3 linked regions of the Callithrix jacchus genome follow. The protein of the gene in region 3 interacts with the protein of the main gene of each other region in a biochemical or structural test. Links are inferred from orthologs where the notes say so. Each region holds a gene or a part of one and is shown on either strand. Other genes may lie near its edges.

Region 1 (7,497 bases), on a different chromosome or scaffold from region 3:
CCTTGGGCCTTCGTGTCTGCCCTTGTGAACGGACGTCTCAGGGCTGCTGTGCCCCTTGGGTGTGGGTGGCCTCAGAGGAGACCCTGTCCCGGCCAACTCCCTACTCCCAGGACTTGCAGTCTGAGCCTTTTTGGATAATTAATAAATATTTTACACAGCACCAAGGGGCTATCCCAGGCTCTGGAAACTTGCCAGGACCTCCACAACCGCTGAACAGACCGTGAGGGCCCTGCCCACCACGAGAGCCTGGCTGTCCTCCCTGTGCACCTCTGCACCTGGGGTCACATGTGGGACTTGTTCCCCGGGCCACAGGCGAAGGTCTGTGGGAGTTACGGGCACCGGGGAGGGCTGGGGGCCAGGTGTGTGTCAGGCCAGGAGTGTGGTCAGGCGTGAGTTTGGCAGTGTTTATTGAGCTCCATGGTGGCAGCCTCCCTGGCATCCAGTGACACCCGAGGCCTGAGGTTGTGTGGCAGGTGAGTGGGCCAGGGCCGTAGCCGAGTCCACTCAGCCTGGGTCCTGCGCTTCTTCGCTGGCCTAGCATCCTCGTGGGTGGCCAAGCTGGGGCCAAGTTTGGGCAACAGGTGTGGGCACAGCCTCTGCCCCAAGGCCCCGGTCCACAGCGCTGTCTCCACTAGGTGAGGAGTCCACTGTCCTGAGGCACTGGCTAGGGAGGGGCACATGGAGTCAGGCCCAGGGCACAGGCCCCCCCCCACCCTGCCCATGCACAGATTGCTCACCTTGGCTCAGAGCTTGAACCCGGCCCAGGGACAGCAGGTTGTGCCTGAGGGTGTACTGTGGGGTCAGAAGACTGGGCACTGTGGCCACTGCCTCATCTGACAAGAAGGCTTCCAGCTGTGGAGCTCCGACCGCCAGGACTGCTCTGAGCAGCGAGGAGACAGCAGCCAGACACCCCATCAGGACAAGCTCTGGGAGACCCTGCTCCTGCTCCCAGGAACATGCAAGGGCCCAGACTGCCGGCTTCACAGACAAGGATGCCTGTGCACCCAGGTCGTGCACACCCGACTCACCTGTGGTGGGCCCACACCGCGGAGGGCACACAACTTTATGACTGCGGCCCCCGACTCTGGCAGGAGTCAGAAGGCGGAGGTCAAGCGGTGCACAACCAGCTCAGGGGATTGGTGGCCACAGGCTGCTGAAGACATGGCCAAAAGCGGCCTCTCTGTGGGAGGCCAGGTCAGGATGCCTGGAGTGGTGGACCCTCCAGGAACCCCGCCCCACGACAAAGCCCCGCCCCCACGAAGACACGCCCCTAGGAGGCCCCGCCCACGAGGAAGCACCGCCCCACCGACGCCACTCCCTGAAGACCCGCCCTACGGAGGCCCCGCACACGAGGAGGCGGGGCCGCACCCCACCGGCAGCCTCTAGACTAACAGCCGTTCCAGCTCCCTTCGCGTCACGTGCTTCTCCGCTCGGCCCTTGATGGCCGCCAGCAACTCCTCCCGTTACCTGGAAAAGGGGGTGAGGGGAGGTCCGGCCACGGGGACACTCGCCCCACGGATCCCTTTATCTCTTACCAGTCTACCAACGGTCCACGGCTTCCAGCCGCTCTCGGGGGCCCGCGCGCGCTCGTAGCACCTTTCGGTGGCATTCCAGGATGGCAGCCCAGCAAGCCGCTGGGGTCCCCACAGCCCCAGAGCGCGTGGGAGGCCGCCATGTTACGTGGAGGGGAGGGGTCGGCTCTCAGGGGCGGAGCCTCTGCGGAAGGGGCCGGCTGCTGGGGGCGGGACCTCTGCAAACGGAGTCGACCCCCCCCCGAGGGCGGGGCCGGCTGCCAGGGGCGGAACCTCTGCAGACGGGGCTGACTGATGGGGGCGTGGCCGGGTGCTGGGGGCGGGGCCTCCGCCGATGGGGGTGGCTGCGGGGGCGGGGCCTCTGCCGATGGGCCAGGTGCTGGGAGTGGGGGCGGGTGCCGGGGGCGGGACCGCCGCAGATGCGGCCTGTTGTTGGGGGCGGGGCGGGCTGCTGGGGGCGGGACCTCTGCAGATGGGGTCTTTACGGGTTGGGGCAGGGGCGGAATCCCACGTGGGCGGGACAGGCTTTTAGGGAAGCACGCCCTCAGCGAACCAAGGCTGAGGCACCTCACGGAGAAAACCGGATATATGGGACGGCCGCCACCGAGGCCAGTTCTGGAGAGGCCTCGGCGGGGCGGGGCGGGGCTGGCCTCCGCGAATGCCGACCCTGAAAAACGCGGGGCCAGGGAACCGGAGCGTTCCTCGCAGCCAGCTACGTCGCGGGCCGACTGTCCCCGCCCAGGCTGGTTGGGCGCACGCGCGGCCCTACCCGCCCCCCGACGCCTGCGTCCCCGCCGATCCCGCCCCCGGCCGGAAGTTCCGGCGGCGGAGCTGGGCCGGGCCCGAGCTGATCGTGGGCTCGGGCTGCAGGGCTCGGGCTCGGGCTTCGGGTGCAGGGCCGTCAGGCGCGGAGCTTGGGAGCGCAGCCCAGGCCGTGCCGCTCGGCGCCATGAAGGGCAAGGAGGAGAAGGAGGGCGGCGCGCGGCTGGGCGCTGGCGGCGGAAGCCCGGAGAAGAGCCCGAGCGCGCAGGAGCTCAAGGAACAGGGCAACCGTCTGTTTGTGGGCCGAAAGTACCCGGAGGCGGCGGCCTGCTACGGCCGCGCGATCGTGAGTGCGCCCGCGTGGGGAAGGCGGCGACGGCGAGTCGGAGGGCCACGCCCGCGATCGGCCGGCCCCGCCGAGGGTCTGGCTCCTCCGCGGCGGGTATCCTGGGCTCCGAAAGCCCAGCATTGGTTCTCGATCCCAGCGCCAGGTGCCGGGGAACGAGGGTGGGATGCTAGATGGAGGCCGGCCGGGTGGGTGGGAGGCCAGGGTCCAAAGCTGGGACTCTCCAAAGATTTGGAAAACTCTACAGAACCAACCGGAGTGAGGTGTGTAGGCTCAGCCAGTAGTCCCGTGTCTGCAGATCCTTGGACCCAGAGGCTTTGGCTACTGAGAGGTCTAGGTTCTTGATCGTAGCCAGATCGCAGAAGCTGGGACGGGCCCTGGGACAGAGGGGGCGCGCTGAGCCTACGCCTGATGCGGCTGGCCCGGCCTTGGTCCCTAGACCCGGAACCCGCTGGTGGCCGTGTATTATACCAACCGGGCCCTGTGCTACCTGAAGATGCAGCAGCATGAGCAGGCCCTGGCCGACTGCCGGCGCGCCCTGGAGCTGGACGGGCAGTCTGTGAAGGCGCACTTCTTCTTGGGGCAGTGCCAGCTGGAGATGGAGAGCTATGATGAGGCCATCGCCAATTTGCAGCGAGGTTGGCCGACAAGCTGCCTGGGTGCGGGGCCCCTGGGACCAGGCGGTTGGACTGGCCAGCGTGACCGGAAGCCCTTGTTCCCCAGCCTACAGCCTGGCCAAGGAGCAGCGACTGAACTTTGGGGACGACATCCCCAGCGCTCTGCGAATCGCGAAGAAGAAGCGCTGGAACAGCATCGAGGAGCGGCGCATCCACCAGGAGAGTGAGCTGCACTCCTACCTTTCGAGGCTCATTGCGGCGGAGCGTGAGAGGTGGGACCCTTACCCCAGGCCGCGCTGTCTGGGGATAATTCTGAATAACCAACCGCCAACACGAATGTTTACTGAAAGTTTTACTGGCGAGCAGTGCATGTGGGGAAGAAGCCTGGATGTTAGCCCTGAGTCTGGGGTGTGGTCAGACATCTTCTGGCCAGGTCCGTCTCTGACGGGCTCCTGGTCATCCCCCAGGGAGCTGAAAGAGTGCCAGCAGAACCACGAGGGTGACGAGGACGACAGTCACGTCCGGGCCCAGCAGGCCTGCATTGAGGCCAAGCACGTGAGGGTGCCCCCATCCACATGTGGGTCTGTGTGTGTGCACACGTGGCACGGGAGCGTCCCCACCCTGCTGTGGGTCTGTGTGTCCCTGCCTCGTGTTGGGTCTGGGTACCACGGAGGAGGGAAGTGGGGTGTCCCTCCCAAGCACTGCTCAACTTTCCACAGGACAGATACATGGCGGACATGGATGAGCTCTTCTCTCAGGTGGATGAGAAGAGGAAGGTGAGTGCTGCTGTGGGTGGTAGGTCCTGGAGCAGCCCCTTCCCAGCCTCTGACCCTGTGCCCATGTGCCACAGAAGCGCGACATCCCTGACTACCTGTGTGGCAAGATCAGCTTTGAGCTGATGCGGGAGCCGTGCATCACACCCAGTGGCATCACTTACGACCGCAAGGACATCGAGGAGCACCTGCAGGTGAGGCTGGGGCCAGGGGGTGGGCAGGGCCAGCAGCAGGGTCCTAGGCTTGCTGAGCAGCCTCTGCCTCTTGTCACTGCAGCGTGTAGGCCATTTTGACCCTGTGACCCGGAGCCCCCTGACGCAGGAACAGCTCATTCCCAACCTGGCTATGAAGGAGGTCATTGATGCATTCATCTCTGAGAACGGCTGGGTGGAGGACTACTGAGCTCCTCGCCCTGCCCAGTGTCCTGGCCCCGGAGGGCCACGGGCAGAAGCCCCCAGCCCCTGTACATAGCTTGTGTCCCTGGCCACCCTTTCCCTTCCCCCCAGTTCTGCTGTTGGGCTCTGGACGGCTCCCCTCTCAGCATAGCTCTTGCTGGGCTGTGATCCTCCCCGTCCCCCATTCTGGGCTGGAAAAGCAGGTGAGGGTGGGCTGGGCTGCGGCCACCGTCTGTGTAATAAAATCCGTGAGCACAAGCTGGGGAAGAAGTGCTCTGTGTGACAGGAGTGCCTGCCGGCTGCCACGGCTAGCCAAGGAAGGTAGAGATGAAGACGCTGGTGTCAAGGTTGAGTGTGGCGTGCCACCAGCGGTCGGGGAAGTACAGCACCTGGTGAAGGAAGGGGGTGCAGCCGAGATCAGCTGCGGGCCTCTGACCTGGCCCGGTCCCTCCTGCCAGCCACTGACCTCACCAGCCTGGATGGTACACTCCAGGGGCCGTGCAGACGGCGGCAGGGCTGGGTATGTGTCCCGGAGCCAGGCCAGCGTGGTCTTGTTGGGGTGGAACTCTGGCGTCTTCTCAGGTGGGTAGAGGAACCAGCGCTGTGGGCAGGGGCAGCAGCGTCACCCTTGCCCACTTGGGTCATCCACCCAAGCCCCGACACCCACCCTGGGCTGACCTTACGGCCGTAGATCACCTCCGAGTACCCAGGCCCGTGCCAGTGGAAGGGCACCCCCGAGCCGGCTCCTGTGGGGTTACGAGCACCTAGTGACCCACCTGTTTAGTACCCACTCTCAGAAGCCTCACTCCTCCCCAGTCCCAAGGAGCACCCACCTGCGATTCCAAAGCTGTAAGCTGGAGCGGTACCCGGCAGACCAAATGGGGGTGGGGAGTAGTGCCGAAAAAGTGAGGACCATTCAGTGAAGTTGTTGTCCCCGAAAAAGTACAGGGTGTCTGCAACAGAGACGGTGGGGCAGGGATCCCGGCACTGGGAGGCTCCAAGCGTGTCGCCGCCCCAACACCGCCATACATGGCTGACTCACCATTGCCCAGGGAGGTGGGGTCCTGGGGGTGCAGCAGCTGCTCCACATACTCCTGGAAGGGCAAGTCCACTGCAGGGAAGGGACGGGTCAAGACCGGCTGCTGCAGCCGTCGCGGCGTTGGCAAGCAGGCGGGCCCGGGGTGGGGCGGCTCACCCTTCCGGTAGGAGTAGGTGTTGGCGGTGCTCAGCCGAACCACTCTGTCTCCGAACGACGCCAGCAACCTGTCGCGGGAGCACAGGGCCCGGAACCTCTGCGGGGGGGCGGGCGGGGGCGGGGCTTAGAGGCCGGGCCCAGCACGCGCGAGGGTGTCCGGGGACGGGCGCGCGCTCACCGAGTTGTCCGTGAGTCCCTGCAGGATAACGGGCCTGACGAACGCGTACCTGGAAGGAAGGGCAGAGTCGCGCCCAGGCTCGACCGCCACCCTCGCCGCCCCCGCCCCACACTCGCGGGAGCTCGGGGAAGGCGCCTTAGGCGGGCGGGTGACCAGGGCGCGATCTCCGCGGTCAGGGGCGCACGTACTGCTGCACGAACTCGGCGTAGGTAAGGTCGGCGCGGCGCTCCACCGTGCAGCGCTGCTCCTCGGCCGCGGCCCCCGGCCCGCCCCGGCGCCTGCGGGCACAGCCCGGTCAGCCCGCGCCCTACCCGCCGCACGAGACCCCCCGCCCGGCCCCTCCCGGGCCGCTCACCACCCGCCGTCGCCCTCCTCCCCCGAGCTGGGTAGAACCAGAGCCGCCAGCGCCCAGAGCGCGAGCAACCACGACCCCGGCGCCATGAGCCCGCCGCCCTCAGGCAGCCGCGCTGCACGCCGGGAACCTCAGGCCCGTCCGCCAGCCATTGGCCGCAACCTCGTCGTCATGGCAACCGCCGGGTGCCCGGATGGTTCCGGAAGTGATCTCCTTTGCCCCGCCCCGGAAGAGGCCTATTGGCATCGCTGGTTACCATGGCGACAGCCCCGGAGAGAGCCCCCGCCCAGCAGCTGCACGGCGAGCACACTGCAAGCCCCCGCGCGGACAGCGATTCCACTTCCTTTATTGGGGTTTCAAGTTCCAGCCTCTGCCCGTCTGGGGCCCAAGACCAGGCGGGGTTTTGCACGTGGCCGGCCGGGCGGTCAGGTCCCCAGAGCCTAGCAAACGCTCAGGAGTACTCGCAGAGGTGGCCGCAGCCCGCGGGGCAGTGGGAGCTGCCTTCCAGCCACTTCATGATGTGCTGCAGGTGGCCGCCGTGGCTGCAGCCCTGGCACCACACGAACAGGCCCTTGACAACGTGGTGGCAGACGGCGCACATGCTGGCGCAGCGGTGGCACCTGGGGGCGGGCGGGAGGGCGGACGCCTCAGCGGGGGCTCCTGCACTGCCTGCAGGCCCCTTCCCCACCTCCCGACCCCACTGCCCACCTGTCGCAGACCCAGCCCCGGCTGCTCATGGGCCGTTTGCAGTGGCTGCAGTTGACATGCAGGGTGGTGGAGGCCTGGTTGAGGCAGCTGACGGCTCGGCTCGTGCTCAGCTTGACCACCTCGTTGGACACGTTCCACAGGCGGAAGCGCTGCAGCAGGTCGATGTAGGAGGTGTACCAGTGCTCCTGGGAAAGGAGCGCGTGGCGGTCGGAATCGGGGCGCAGGGCAAAGCCTTCGGAGGGAGGAGGCCCCGCCCACCACACACCTGGGTCTGCTCGTCGATGTCCTTGCGCACCCGTTCACCCAGGACGATGAGCACAGACACAGCCATCTGCACGTCGCCCTGCTCAGCATAGAAGTGCAGCATGTCCCGCACCAGCATGCTGAAGAAGTCGGGCGGTAGGCGGCTGTCGTACAGCGCGTGTGAGACAGACAGGAGCGAGAAGGAGGAGTCCACGGGAGCCAGGGAGGCCACATCCGCCTCGCTGCCGCTCACATGCGGGGAGTCGGCCTTGTCCTGCAGGTGCTCGGGCCCGGGAGGTGTGTCCACAATCTCGTGGCGCAGTGGAAAGGCCTCCTGCGGCAGCACGCACTCGGGCTCCTCGGCTGGGAGGCCCAGGTGAGCAAAGGCTCTGAACC
Region 2 (7,629 bases), on a different chromosome or scaffold from region 3:
TTACTTAAATGGGCCAGGGAAAGGGTGAGGAGATAAAGAGACTTAAACACGTGCACACTTTCTACAGTGAGTATGTGTATGTTTTATGATCAGAAAAGTATCACATAAACGACCAGGAAATATTCCGTGAAACAGTAAGTATCTGCTCCGGGATTCAAGACCCAATACCTGTGGGCCCCTCGTTTCCTCCGTCGCTGTGTGTGGGGACAGAGCTTCTCACCGAGAACCTTGCCTTCCTGCCTTCCCTATCTCACAGCCCTTTGTTTTCTTAGCACTTTGTCCCCATCTCCACCGCAGCGCCTATCAGATCACACTAACGACCGTTATTTGCCAACTGCGGAGTTGGAGGCGACCACTGTGCTGGCTAGATACCATACACAGATTCCCTCTTTTTTAACCAGTAACACCCCTCATTTACAGATGTTACTACCCCTATTTTACAGACAAGAAATCGATACATAAAGATTAAATAACCTGCCCCAAATTAAACCGCTAACACATGGACCACCCAACTCGCCTTACTCCAAAGCACAGGTTCATTCCACTAGGGTATTGGCTATGTGTTTATATAATGGTAGGTACATCGGAAGGCTTCCATTAAGTATGTGCTGAACAGAATTAAAGAAGGGGGTCCTACACTGTCTGCTTCTGATGAAGAAAAAGACGCAGAAAAGAAACAGCCACACGTGGAGAATCAGTAGGTGCAAGCCAAGGACAGTTTGCGGTAAACTGCCACCCGGAAGCCAGCACCCACCATCCTGGTCTCCCGGAGTTTGGGTGGCTCCTGGCACTGTTATTTCTACAGAAAAGTAGTGGATTTAATCCCTACAGAGGCAGCGCCCCCGTATCCTCTGGAGGTGCCTCCAGTCACCTAAAGAGACATCTTCATTGTGGCTCTCAACTCATGTGGGCTGTAAATTGCTGGAGAGAAGCGCTTTTTCTTATGCATTCCTTTCAAGTTCCCTCGGCAGGGACTACAATGAACCATCGCGTTATGACGCTGAAAAGTTCATCTCTAAAAAGCGATCCTAATTTAGTTTGATGAGCCTGACGGCGTCCCAACAGCGAAGTGCCGGGCACATAAACGGATGTCCAAAAATATAATTATTATAGGAATAAAAATTCACGCTGGGTGCAGTGGCTCACGCCTGTAATCCCAGCACTTTGGGAGGCCGAGGAGGGCGGATCATTTGAGACCAGGAGTTTGAGACCAGCCTGGGCAACATGGCGAAAGCCCGTCTCTACTAAAAATACAAAAATTAGCCGGCGTGGTGGCGCGCGCCCGTAGTCCCAGCTACTCGGGAGGCTGAGGCAGGAGAAATGCTTGAACCCGGGAGGTGGAGGTTGCAGTGAGCCGAGATCGCGCCACTGCGCTCCAGCCTGGCGCCTGGTGACAGAGTGAGACTCTGTCTCAAAAAAAAAAAAAAAAAAAAGAAAAGAAAAAAGAAAAGAAAAAATCAGCCAAGACTTGGAAAAAGAAATAAAAAAGGAAACTTCATGCAACCAGTTACAACTGGGCACCACTCACCAGATACTACACTAAGCTGGGGTTAGGTGCTGAGCAAAACCAGGCTCCTCTCTAGATGGCTCTCTAGGTCCCACGACCATGGCTTTGGTGACACCGGTAGCTGCGCGCTCCACAGGCTGTCAAGAAACACTCAGGAAACAAACATTGAAAATACTCCGTCTGTGGGCCTTTAGGAAAACCGAGTGACTTTTTTCGGGAGGGGAACCCATCCTTGTAAGCATTCGCGGAAACGGCAGTTTCATTACCGCGAGGAAGGGTCCCCTGAGTGCGTGCCCCGTGTGAGTCCCAAGCTGGACGGCCATGCCCTGCCACCCCGTTCCTTGCAGCATCTGCAGGCGCGGGAGGAGGCACTGCTGCCCAGCTGGGGCTTTCCGACTTTGGGGAAATTGAGGTTGCTTTCCCTGGCTCTGCGCAGCGGGGCAGCGCTGTCCACTCACTTCCCCGCCCACACGCCCTTGCCCTTTTTCCCCCAGGTAGGCAAGGGTCTACGCGGGTCATAACGGGAAGGCCACGCCGCCCATGGTGAAAGCTGCTCCCGGGGAGGGCGTGCCGCCGCTGCCATCTGGCTGCCCGCGCTTCCCACACCCCGCCGCGGGCGCAGCGGACTAGTGGAGTAAAGTCAGGAGATCGATCGAGAAGAATCTGGAAGAATCCGGTTAGACAGGGAAGCGGCCGGGGGTGGGAGGGAGGAAAGGCCAGGGGAGATCCCGAGTCCGAGGGTCCCAGGAGAGGGGAAGGGGTGCCGGCAACCAGCAGGAGGCAAGAACAAGGAGAAAAAAAAAAATCCGAAGCGCCCGCAGCCCGAGCCCGAACGGGATCAGCCCCGCAGTCTCTAGAAAGTTCTGCACCCCGCCCGCTCTGTCCGCTCTCCGGCTCCTCCCAGCCCCTCCCTCGCGGCGGGGCGGGACCAATCGCTCCCCGAGCCGCTCCTGACCCACCTACCCCCGCTCCCGCGCCGCGAGCAGAGGTGCTCCAGTCTCTGAGCGGTCCGCAGTTAGCGCCGTGGCGCCTGGCCTCCCGCACGCTCCGCAGGTAGTACCCCCACCGGCTACCCAGAGTGCGCTCGCGCCGGCGCCAGCTCCCGGAGAAACGGCTCGCCGCCCGGAGATGACAGCCGAGGAGATGAAGGCGACCGAGAACGGGGCGCAGTCCGCGCCGCTGCCGGTGGAGGGAGTGGACATAAGCCCCAAACAGGACGAAGGCGTGCTGAAGGTGAGGGAAGGCGGGGTCTGCGGGGGCGACCGAACCCCGGGCCCGGCGGGCCACCCTTCCGCCAAGCCGGGAGCCCGCGGCCGGGCGCGGGTCGAGGCGGCCGCCTCTGCAACCTTGTGGCGGTTTCGCCGGGGGCCGGTGGCATCGCCGTCCCGGACCGTGATGCGTCGTTTGGGGCACTGAGGGTGGCCACGCGCTCGGCAGGGGGCGGCCTAGGTGAGCCGGCCGAGGCCCCAGGCTCCCTATCCCGCGGCGCCCGGGCCCGGCAGGGGGTCGGGATTGCAGCGCCCACCTCGGCGCGCGCAGGGCGGCGGAGAGGGGCGGGGCGGCCGCCGCGGGCGCTCCAGCTGCAGCCAGGGGCCAGGCCGGGCTGCTCCCACGCCGCGCCGCCCCCTATCCCCCGGGCTGCCTTGTAGGTGGCGGTGCCAGGGCTGGCCCACCCCGGCTGTGGAACATAGGCCAGGACGGGGAGCGACTCCCCACAGTGCTTTCCTGGCCTGGAGGCCTTTGTGTGACGCAAGCGCGACAGGGTTCTGGCGCCCTCCTGGTGTCCCCTGCCGACACCGGGACCCTGCGAGGTCCCCAACTCTCCGCGCCCCCTCCCTCGCCCCCCCGGGGAGGCCGAGCGCGGGGAATGCCGGGAGCTGTAGTTCCCCCCCCCCCGCGCCGCCTCCCGGAGCCCGTCTGCGGGGTGTGGGGTGGGGAGGAGGCGCTCTGCTGTGGAGCCCGCGGCCGAGTGACCGCTCGACTACAAATAGCCTGGGGAGCTGGGTGGAGGGCATCTTGACCTGGGCCAGGACAACCTGCCATGGGTCGGAGCAGGTTCTGGGGAGAGTCCGGAGATGGTGAACTCGCAGCTCGCATCTTATGCCCTCTCCCTATCCGCTGCTCCTCCTCATCCTGGCTTCCCACCGTTGAGCTCCGCGTGTGCGGCACCCGTCTCAGGGGGCCTTTACCTGGTCCAGAAGTGCATCTGGCTTGGCACCAGATAACTGGGGACCTCGAGTGCCTGATCCAGCGACTGTCCTGTGGCATGTGGCTTCCCCTTCTCGCTCCAGCGTCCTGCTGTTTTCTATGAGATTGTTATTCTAGGAAGGATCATTTCCCCCTTTGATCCGCCATTCCTTCCCTTTTACCTTTCTACTCCTCAAGGCCCCTTTCCGTTCTTCATGGAAGCTTTCCCTTAGAGGGTAACCACACACCTACCAGGTGGCGCTAAAGAAGCCTGTAGTTGCTGGGAAATACTCCAGCCTGGACTTAATCAGGAATACTCAGCTCCGAAGTCAGAGTTCAAGGCCCCAGGGAGAGCCTCCGGGTTCACCTATAACCTGGTTTCTTCCTTACCTGTTTTGAACTGTTTCTTTTCTCTTCACTTATACTCCTCTCTTTCTCCTGTCTCCAAACCAGACCCTGATCTGATGACCACTGGCATGAAGGAAGGAGGAGGAAGTATGGCATAAATACTTCCCCATTTGCCGATGATAATAATAATCTATTATTCAGCCCTTTACTGGTCTAATCTTCCAACAGCTGTAGGAGATAGGGATCATCATCACTGCTTTACAAATAAGGTGTGGAGAGTTTTAAGAACTTATCCATACACCAGAAACTTGAACTCAGATCTCTCAGTCTTTTGTCTCTTTTTCAAACCAAGTCTTGCTGCACCTCAAGAAAGACAAGGTTAGTTGACTCCTAGGCTAAGCTGCTAGTAACCGAATCTGGAGGGACAAGTAGGCAGAGGAGGATGGACACAGAGAGCTTCATTTATGTTCCTGGAGGCTTGCAGACAGTGTTGGTGCCCCTTTCCGCCCCCACCCCTGGGGTACTCACTTTCTCCCCCTTCCTCCCAGGTCATCAAGAGAGAGGGCACAGGTACAGAGATGCCCATGATTGGGGACCGAGTCTTTGTCCACTACACTGGCTGGCTGTTAGATGGCACAAAGTTTGACTCCAGTCTGGATCGCAAGGACAAATTCTCCTTTGACCTGGGAAAAGGTAGGCGTGGTCAGTGGGCTGGCAGGATAGGTTTGAGGTGGACACAAACTGTCACAAGCAGAAACCATTTTCTCAGGACCAGGCTCAGGGAGGAGTGGTTTATCACACTCTGTTACTCTTTCTGTCACTCTTTTCCTTCTACCGATCTGTAACTATATTGATCTATGTCTTCTCTTCTCATCACCTCCCAGCACCTTACTCCAGCTTCAAAGGTGGACTGTCTTGCATCTTAAAACTCTTTTTTTCAGGGTCAGGTGATCTTTTAAGAGTTCTGAGACCTGGTAACACTTAATGCAACCAGGTATCTCACCTTCTGGTCCCATTTCTAAAGGATGTCCAGCTTCCCCGTGAGTGTGGTTCAGTAACTCTCCAGGAGCACTGTGTGAGCCCAGAATCAGAACCCTGCTAAGGTGATCCTGTTTGCCTCTATATCTGCAGGGGAGGTCATCAAGGCTTGGGACATTGCCATAGCAACCATGAAAGTTGGGGAGGTGTGCCACATCACCTGCAAACCAGAATATGCCTACGGTTCAGCAGGCAGTCCTCCAAAGATCCCCCCCAATGCCACGCTTGTGTTTGAGGTGAGTGTCCAGCCACTGAGATCCAGGCTAAAAGCCAGGCCTTATCTCAGCCCAATGCCTGGCTGCTCTCCAGCCCTTCCTGCTTCTTGGAGACAATGTAGCCAAGGCTGAGGGCCTGGCCTTATGGGAGGAGTAGAAATGAACAGGGCAGTTGGCTCTGCTGCTGCTAGTAATAGAAGTAATGGAAGCTTTGGGTTGGAAGAGGCAGGCGCAAGCCCCTCTCCAGACTCAAGGCATGGTCGGGGTTAAGGCTTCTTTATCTCAAGAGTGGTACCCAGAAGAATACTGAAAGGAGTCGGGAGGTCAGAAACTATGTACCCTTATAAATAGCAGTACAGAATATTGGTGCTCTAGAGATCAGAAGAGGGAGCAATAGCCCTCCCCTGTGGGTCAAGGGCTGAGAAAAGCCGTCTCTGAGGAGCTAGAACTTGACATTGTTCAATATGAAAATGGTTGAGCCAATCTGTGGGCACTTGAATGTTGAGAAACTGCTGAGAGATATTGGGTAATCATTCCTAACACCTACCAGATTGGGCTTATCAGGTAGTGTGAATCAGGATTACCTGGAACACGTCCCGATGCGTCCTCATTAGTAGAGCAGGTAGCAAATAGATTGCTCTCCTCAGCTTAACTGAAGCCCATGTAGGCTGCCCACCTCTACCAAAGGTGAGGTAAGGGCAGCTCCCAAGAACTTAGCAAAATCGCCTTTCTACCCGACTCCTCGTGACTACCCTTATAGTCAGATCTGGCCTGGCAGTTAGTAGGGACTCTCCTGGGTGAGAGAAAGGTTGTGTTTCACTGCCCATGAGTTAGTATGGGAAGGAATTGTGTCACATCTTGTCCCACAGGTGGAGTTGTTTGAGTTTAAGGGAGAAGATCTGACGGAAGAGGAAGATGGCGGAATCATCCGCAGAATACGGACTCGTGGTGAAGGCTATGCTAAGCCCAATGAGGGCGCTATTGTGGAGGGTAAGACAGTACAGCCTTGGGTTTCAATTCTAATTTTGATATTTAGGCCTCAGTGGCTTTGGGTAGGTAATGTCTCTTCTCTGAGCCTGTTTTCTTGGCCATAAAATGAGGGGTTGGACCATATTGTCTTTGAGAACACAAGTAGGAGAATCTTGGGGTGATGTAGAGAGGCTGATGGCATCCTTCCTCAGTTACCTTTCCCTTTTACAACTCTGGTACACTGCCTCTCTTTCATGCCAGTTGCACTGGAAGGGTACTACAAAGACCAGCTCTTTGATCAACGAGAGCTCCGCTTTGAGATTGGTGAGGGGGAGAACCTGGATCTGCCTTATGGTCTGGAGAGGGCCATTCAGCGCATGGAGAAAGGAGAACATTCCATTGTATACCTCAAGCCCAGGTGAGGGGTGGGCACTTCATAGAGTAGGCAGGCAGGCAAACCAAGGTCAAAGATACAAAGTGAGTTATATCTCTCTTTTAGTGAATTATATTCTCAGCTGTTTGTATCCTTTTTAACTCTGGGCACACCAAACATACACCATTATGATCTCTTCGGTGTACTTGGAAGTGTGGTCATAGTCGTCTACATCTCCTTGGATCTAAGCCCAGTCTTATCAGTCATAATTGCTACAGATTCTCTCCTCTGCCATCAAGATTTGCCTCTCCCATTCATTCATTCAGTCATTACTGAAACATATCCATTACATGCCAGACACTACTGAAAATTCCTAGGGGTTCAGAGACTGATAGAACATTGTTTCTAGTTTCTAATTCTAGTTCTTTGTTTAGTGAGGTGTCATTTAAGTTAGTAATCACACTGCTGCCTGGCTGAGTTATTAGAAGGGTACGAAGGATGCTGAGGGACCATCTGATTGTGTGAAGAGGCCAAGGACGATTTGCCAAACATTTGAACCAAGTCTCAAGGGATAGGAAGGTACTTTCCAGGAAATGGACAGGAAGCCTTTTCAGCCTGGAGCAGGTTTAAGTGTTGCCAAGATGACACAAGTATTTTTCACCCCTACAGCTATGCTTTTGGCAAAGTTGGAAAGGAAAAGCTCCAAATCCCACCGAATGCTGAGCTGAAATATGAATTACACCTCAAGAGTTTTGAAAAGGTAAGTTTGTTCAAGGTCTTCCCATCTGAAGTCAAGTTCTACCCTCTAGGTGACTCTGGGGTAACTGACAACTTTGTTTCTCCTCTGGGGTGTGGCAGGCCAAGGAGTCTTGGGAAATGAATTCAGAAGAGAAGCTAGAACAAAGCACCATAGTGAAAGAGCGGGGCACTGTGTACTTCAAGGTGAGCCAACAGTCACTGTTCTGAGGACACTCCCAGGGAGAGTTGCTCTC
Region 3 (6,699 bases):
CAGGATGGAACTTGACTATGGAAGGTTTGAAGCAACAATGAATTTTGAAGTGATAGGGTAAGAATCGTGGTCCTTTAAGCAGTGCAAGGACATTTGCAGCCATGACATACATGTGTCATCTGGCCCAACTTCTCACTCACTTGGCTGGGCATCCATCTTCTTGGTGGTCCAGGTGCCAGCACAGGGACTGCTGGGAGATAGGTCAGGCGCACAGCTAAGTACCCATCCATTCGCCATCAACACTTTCCCAGTAACTCCAGGAGGATAGTTCATTTGGGAGATGATTTATACAGAAGTCCTACATTGCCTGATTCCCTCAACTGCCTTATATTTGGAAGAAATCTAAAGATTTAATATTTTTTATTTTTTTGAGACGGAGTTTCACTCGTTACCCAGGCTGGAGTGCAATGGCGCGATCTCAGCTCACCGCAACCTCCGCCTCCTGGGTTCAGGCAATTCTCCTGCCTCAGCCTCCTGAGTAGCTGGGATTACAGGCACGTGCCACCATGCCCAGCTAATTTTTTACATTTTTAGAAGAGATGGGGTTTCACCATGTTGACCAGGTTGGTCTTGATCTCTTGACCTCGTGATCCACCCGCCTCGGCCTCCCAAAGTGCTGGGATTACAGGCGTGAGCCACCACGCCCAGCCTAGGTTTACTATTTTTTTAACTAGACCTGGGAAAAAGCTGACATTTTACCCTTTTTGCCATTCGCTTCCTAGTTCAACACTAAACCTTTGTCTTAGCTGCTAACATCTTCTAGTAAGCAACAAAACTTAAAATTCAGCCACCAAGACCCTAAGTAATTCTTTCTATTGACTAAGGGAACTAAGAACTTCTCAGAGGATTTTACGGATTAAATGTGATTGCCATTTGCCAAGCACTCAATACCTGCTTAGCATGAAGGACTGAGACCAAGTCTTCTCCCTGCCTGTGCTCTGCCCCTTAAGTCACCAGCACATACCCAAGTCCCACCCATATCCTTTTTATATATGGCTTTAGGCTCAGAATGCAAATCCTACATGCTATCTAACCAAGTTTTCTTTCTAGAATCACAAGACTTTTAGTTAGCCATTACCACCCCTAGAACTTTTTGAGACGGAATTTTGCTTTCTGCCCATGCTGGAGTGCAATGGTGCCATCTCAGCTCACTGCAACCTCCGTCTCCTGGGACTACAGGTATGTGCTAACACGCCCAGCTAATTTTGTATTTTTAATAGACAGCAGTTCTCCATGTTTGTCAGGCTGACCTCACATGATCCACCCACCTCAGTGTCCCAAAGTGCTAGATTATAGGGGTGAGCCACTGTGCCCAGTATTTTTTAAACCTTTGGAGACATGCCAGCTAATCTTTCCCCTACCGACTTGTTACCTACTGCTCACAACGAGCTCAAAGGACCAGAAAATGAGCGACTTTAGACACTGAGTTTAAAGAAATCTGGTAATGAACTGAGACAAAAGGCCAAGGAACTGACTACATTTAAGACACAAGGTGTCCCATGAATATCATCACAACAGTGCAGACGTGCACATGGGATGCACATTGTCTGCATTATTTTCTGTCTACATGTACTCCACCCCACACGCACCAGAAGTACACATTGGGAAGATCATGTCAACCCTTACAGTGGCCAATGTTAGTCACCTCCTGCTAGTACCTCATGTTTTACATTGTGGCACCAATGCTGTCACATCAAGAATACTCCCCTTCTCTGCCCAAGACAGACACTGTCACGCAACTTCTTTTAACTCATCTGTATTTGTTACAACTTTAAGCAGAATGTAACTCGAGCACTACATTTCCATCCACAAGACTGGCTCTGAGTTACTTTGAACAGCTTATGGTATGCTTAGGTAGGCTAATAACTGCTCCTCCAAACAATACTTTCTTTGGAAAACAAGCCCTGTGGAGAGTTCCATCAAGTTGCTTCAGTTTAACCTATTTCTAGAGGACTAGTACATGCAGAATTGGCAACTACAGGGAGGAAGAGTTCAGAAAGTAGATCCTACAAGGTATAACAAACACTTCTCTTCTAAACATCAAAGTATAGCTTGGGAACACTTCGATAACAAGATTTGGTCTACTAAGGAATCTGGCTTGCTAAACACTTTAGACCACAAAGTTAACATGTTACATACATCTTACAACACAAAGTACCTCGATCTGTTAATGTAAGCCAACGTGAAACTAAACAAGCATTACTAGCTCTGCGTTACTGCCTACAGTATCACAGCATCGCTCAGAAGTCGGCAGAGATCTACCTTCCCCTTATAGTTGTGATCATGCCATAGACTTTTTAATGTTAACAAAAATAAAGAAAAACATCCTTGAAAATATATTATTAGAGGAACTGTAGAGTACTGAACAGGTAAGTCATCCCTCAGATGGAGCTTAGTCTACTTCTTCCATGCGTGACGTGTCGTCATCTCCTTCGAGGGGTGGCATTTCTTCAGTTACAGCTGCACTGGTATCATCAGCAGTAGGGTCATCTTCATCAATACCTGTTTTCAAAAGAAAATCCTCTATTAGGAAGATTTCTTAAAGCCAGCTAATTAGTATTAATACTCCTGGTTTACATCTGCTTTCAAGACAGTATTACTGGGCATAGGAATCTTCGTTTCTTAGCTCTTGTAACACCTTATCCCTGTAGAAAAAGATACCTGAATGCCTCTGAGCAGGACAAGGTGCTCCAAGTTTGGATAACATTAACCACTTTTTCACAAGTCATGTATGATTGCTTTTCAACTTGACACAGTTTAAGGCTTACCTAGACCAAGTTTGATCATCCTGTAGATCCTGTTAGCATGTGTCTGGGGATCCTCCAGACTGAAGCCTGAAGACAGGAGAGCGGTTTCATAAAGCAAGATGACCAGATCCTTCACAGACTTGTCGTTCTTATCAGCCTCCGCCTTTTGCCTTAAGGTCTCGATGATGGAATGGTCAGGGTTTATCTCCAGGTGTTTCTTTGCTGCCATGTAACCCATTGTTGAGTTGTCTCTCAGGGCTTGAGCTTTCATGATTCTCTCCATGTTTGCTGTCCAGCCGTATGTGCTTGTGACAATACAGCATGGAGACGTCACCAATCGGTTTGACACAACCACCTGTAATGAAGAAGTAAGAACTTAGGAGCCTAGAAAGATTAAAACCTAAACTTTCATTGTGAAATGAAATCTGAAGAACCAAAATATCAATATGTCGGAAATACCATCTACTATCAAATACAACTTAAGGTTTTATTAGGTATCCAAACAGCACAGGCTAAAATTGTGTTTTACATACACAACCATAGTTTTCAGTGAAGCTGAGAACAAGGGAAAATGGGTTATGTAAGCTTGAAAGCCCCTTAGAGGTATCAATCATCAGGAAATGCTGTATTCACATACCTTTTCAACCTTTTTCTCCAGTATGTCTTTCATGATTTTGCAGAGGTTCTCAAACTTTGTTTTCTTCTCTTCCTGTTTCTTTTTCTCTTCTTCATCCTCTGGAAGTTCCAAGCCCTCTTTGGTGACTGACACTAAAGTCTTCCCCTCAAATTCCTTCAGCTGTTGGACACAGTACTCATCAATGGGCTCAATCATATAGATCACTTCTAAGCCATGCTTTCGAAGACGTTCCACAAAGGCTGAGTTAGCTACTTGGTCCTTGGTCTCACCTGAGGTATTATAAAAGTTACTTTTATACCTTTTGACAGTAAGGAATGGCTTCACCTACTTCTGACTTTTCTTACTAGTCAGATACCTAGGCAGAACCGAAAACAGATGACTGAGCTCATGTTAAGTATCCTGCTTAGATCAACACCAGTTATACTAACAGTGCTACCTGAGTAGAAAACACATCCAGAGCCTACAAGGTTCCAAGAACAAAGTGTTTGAGTGTAATGTACTGTCCCCCTACCTGTGATATAATAGATATGTTTCTGGTTTTCCTTCATTCTGGTGCAGTAGTCTTTGAGAGATACCATCTCATCACCAGAGGCAGATGTGTAGTATCTCAACAGCTCTGAAAGCTTCTTCCGATTTTGAGAGTCTTCGTGTATTCCAAGCTGAAACAAAGTAAGTTCTTTACAAAGATGTCTTGAATTTAAAAAAAATCTAAAAAGAGGCCAGTTGGAAAACTACTAATGGTCAAATATTTACACTAACCTTTATGTTTTTAGAGAACTGCTCATAGAACTTCTTGTAGTTCTCTTTATCTTCTGCCAGTTCAGTGAAGAGTTCTAAGCATTTTTTGACCAGATTCTTCCTGATAACTTTCAAAATCTTGCTTTGTTGCAACATCTCACGGGAAATATTTAGAGGGAGATCCTCTGAGTCTACCACCCCTCTAATGAAGTCTGAAAAAAATATAAAAACCAAATGCACTGAGTCATTCCAAAGACAAAACTGGTGCTAGATAACCCCCAAAAAATCAAACGTAAAAACCTCAAAATATATACATATGTATTAAGATGGGTCTGTTTTACAGGGTGGAGTGCAGTGGCCCGATCTCTGCCCACTGCAACCTATCTCCCACTCCCCTCTCCCTATTCAAGCTATTCTCAAGACTCAGCTGGACTCCAGGCACCCACCACCACACCAGGCTAATTTAGTAGAGATTGGGTTTTCATTTTGGCCAGCTGGTCGTGAATTCCTGACGTTAGGTGATCCACCCACCTCCGCCTCCCCTAAGTGCTAAGATTATAGGAGTGAGCCACTGTGCCTGCCAGGAATTATTTCTTTAATCCCTGACTGATCATTTTTCCTAACTGTACTTACTCAGATATTCAGGGATTAGTTCCTCACAGTTATCCATGATGAAAACTCTGCGTACATACAACTTGATGTTATTCTTTTTCTTTCTGTTTTCAAACAGGTCAAAAGGAGCACGTCGTGGGACAAATAGAAGGGCTCTGAATTCCAACTGTCCTTCAACTGAAAAATGCTGTAATAAAACATACACACTTAAGTACCAATGAACAATGCATTACAGAAGGTATCTGTGGTGGAAGAGGAAAGACAGTAACTAAGGACAAGCTCGAAGCACCACTCAGTCACTCACCTTCACTGCCAAGTGATCTTCCCAGTCATTGGTCAAGCTCTTGTAGAATTCTCCATACTCCTCATTAGTAATATCGTCAGGATTTCTGGTCCAGATGGGCTTTGTTTTGTTGAGTTCTTCTTGATCGATGTACTTTTCCTTAATCTTTTTCTTCTTCTTCTTGTCACCATCCTTTTTTTCTTCTTCTTCTTCATCAGAACCAACATCTTCAATTTCAGGTTTATCTTCAGACTCTTTCTCTTCTTTCTCTTTTTCTTCTTCTTTATCTTCCTTTTCTTCAGCCTCATCATCACTGACTTCTTTATCACGTTCCTTCTCCACCTTCAAAACAAGACGTGAAATCACATCACTGCTGCAACTGGTAACACTGAGCAACTATTTTCAACTAAGGCCAAAGCCTAGTCAGCCAAGCCAGAAGCAGCCAGGCAGCTTCTCATCAACGTATCTTATAGACTAAGGTAGTAGATAGAGCTTAGGTTCCCCAGGCTCCACACTAATAAATAACAACCCAAGTTCAACAGATCTAAGGAATAAGGATGTAGCTCAGTCACCCCAGTCATCTACAGAGAGTAACTCACTCTGCAATTTTTTTTTTTTTTTTTTTTAAAGACAGAGTTTCGCTTGTTACCCAGGCTGGAGTGCAATGGCGCGGATCTCGGCTCACCACAACCTCCACCTTCTTGGTTCAGGCAATTCTCCTGCCTCAGCCTCCCGAGTAGCTGGGCTTACAGGCACGCGCCACCATGCCCAGCTAATTTTTTGTATTTTTAGTAGAGACGGGGTTTCACCAAGTTGACCAGGATGGTCTCGATCTCTTGACCTCGTAATCCACCCACCTCAGCCTCCCAAAGTGCTAAGATTATAGGCGTGAGCCACTGTGCATGGCATTCACTCTGCAATTACATAGAAACTTACAAAAAGAGTAATGGGATAGCCAATAAACTGAGAATGTTTCTTCACAATCTCCTTTATTCTTCGTTCCTCCAAGTACTCAGTTTGGTCTTCCTTCAGGTGTAGGATAACCTTGGTTCCACGACCCATAGGTTCACCTGCAGAAGTAGGGAAAATTGACTCAATAATCCAATCAACTTAGCGTTCAAGCCATGCCTCACTCAGATCTATCAAGACTTGCCATTACTACAGATGAAAAGGTTCCCACAACAGGTCTAGGTGCCTTGCCACAAAGTAGTAAGCAAGTCATGCCATATTAAGTGCTCTAGCTTGTTCCTCAACGTTGGGCAAACACAACTTGCTGGAAGCCTCAGAGGTCCAAGGGCTGCAGCATCCCACCCTCCCGCCACTGACTAACCCGTGCATGCTCGGGCGCCTACCTGTGTCTGTCCTCACTGTGAATGACCCCCCTGCTGAGGACTCCCAGGCGTACTGCTCATCGTCGTTATGTTTGGTGATCACCGTTACTTTCTCAGCAACCAAATACGCAGAATAAAAACCAACACCAAACTGGCCAATCATAGAGATATCTGCACCAGCCTGCAAAGCTTCCATGAACGCTTTGGTCCCAGACTTGGCGATAGTACCAAGGTTATTGATCAAGTCAGCCTTGGTCATTCCAATTCCAGTATCCACAATAGTGAGGGTTCGATCTTGTTTGTTTGGTATGAGGTTAATATGCAGCTCTTTCCCAGAGTCCAATTTACTGG

What was found. The genes of interacting proteins can lie anywhere in the genome.
Region 1: the proteins of HSP90AA1 (region 3) and STUB1 form a complex in vitro, tested with the Homo sapiens proteins (14 studies listed by BioGRID and IntAct, with this or other methods). The link is inferred for Callithrix jacchus from reciprocal best matches to the Homo sapiens genes HSP90AA1 and STUB1.
Region 2: the proteins of HSP90AA1 (region 3) and FKBP4 form a complex in vitro, tested with the Homo sapiens proteins (4 studies listed by BioGRID and IntAct). The link is inferred for Callithrix jacchus from reciprocal best matches to the Homo sapiens genes HSP90AA1 and FKBP4.

What each region holds. Positions count from the first base shown.
Region 1 is NC_133513.1:2,939,228-2,946,724, forward strand, and holds STUB1 (E3 ubiquitin-protein ligase CHIP), read left to right. Parts: upstream 1-2,359; 5' UTR 2,360-2,481; coding exon 2,482-2,640; exon of another isoform or gene 2,641-2,785; intron 2,786-3,079; coding exon 3,080-3,278; intron 3,279-3,363; coding exon 3,364-3,529; intron 3,530-3,596; exon of another isoform or gene 3,597-3,724; coding exon 3,725-3,812; exon of another isoform or gene 3,813-3,976; coding exon 3,977-4,033; exon of another isoform or gene 4,034-4,107; coding exon 4,108-4,224; exon of another isoform or gene 4,225-4,284; coding exon of another isoform or gene 4,285-4,306; coding exon 4,307-4,432; 3' UTR 4,433-4,683; downstream 4,684-7,497. Other genes in the region: JMJD8 (jmjC domain-containing protein 8), read right to left, coding at 4,734-4,814, 4,892-5,026, 5,104-5,171, 5,259-5,378, 5,468-5,717, 5,799-5,847, 5,987-6,076, 6,154-6,239; GATOR2 complex protein WDR24, read right to left, coding at 6,602-6,770, 6,859-7,043, 7,124-7,464. UniProt on the Homo sapiens protein: E3 ubiquitin-protein ligase which targets misfolded chaperone substrates towards proteasomal degradation.
Region 2 is NC_133510.1:16,108,078-16,115,706, forward strand, and holds the start of FKBP4 (peptidyl-prolyl cis-trans isomerase FKBP4), read left to right. Parts: upstream 1-2,491; 5' UTR 2,492-2,635; coding exon 2,636-2,740; intron 2,741-3,408; exon of another isoform or gene 3,409-4,420; intron 4,421-4,590; coding exon 4,591-4,735; intron 4,736-5,173; coding exon 5,174-5,316; intron 5,317-6,164; coding exon 6,165-6,285; intron 6,286-6,525; coding exon 6,526-6,682; intron 6,683-7,306; coding exon 7,307-7,397; intron 7,398-7,495; coding exon 7,496-7,579; intron 7,580-7,629. UniProt on the Homo sapiens protein: Immunophilin protein with PPIase and co-chaperone activities. Component of steroid receptors heterocomplexes through interaction with heat-shock protein 90 (HSP90).
Region 3 is NC_133509.1:136,999,022-137,005,720, forward strand, and holds the end of HSP90AA1 (heat shock protein HSP 90-alpha), read right to left. Parts: coding exon 6,370-6,699; intron 6,088-6,369; coding exon 5,954-6,087; intron 5,360-5,953; coding exon 5,039-5,359; intron 4,922-5,038; coding exon 4,756-4,921; intron 4,335-4,755; coding exon 4,144-4,334; intron 4,044-4,143; coding exon 3,896-4,043; intron 3,654-3,895; coding exon 3,385-3,653; intron 3,103-3,384; coding exon 2,769-3,102; intron 2,503-2,768; coding exon 2,393-2,502; 3' UTR 1,744-2,392; downstream 1-1,743. UniProt on the Homo sapiens protein: Molecular chaperone that promotes the maturation, structural maintenance and proper regulation of specific target proteins involved for instance in cell cycle control and signal transduction.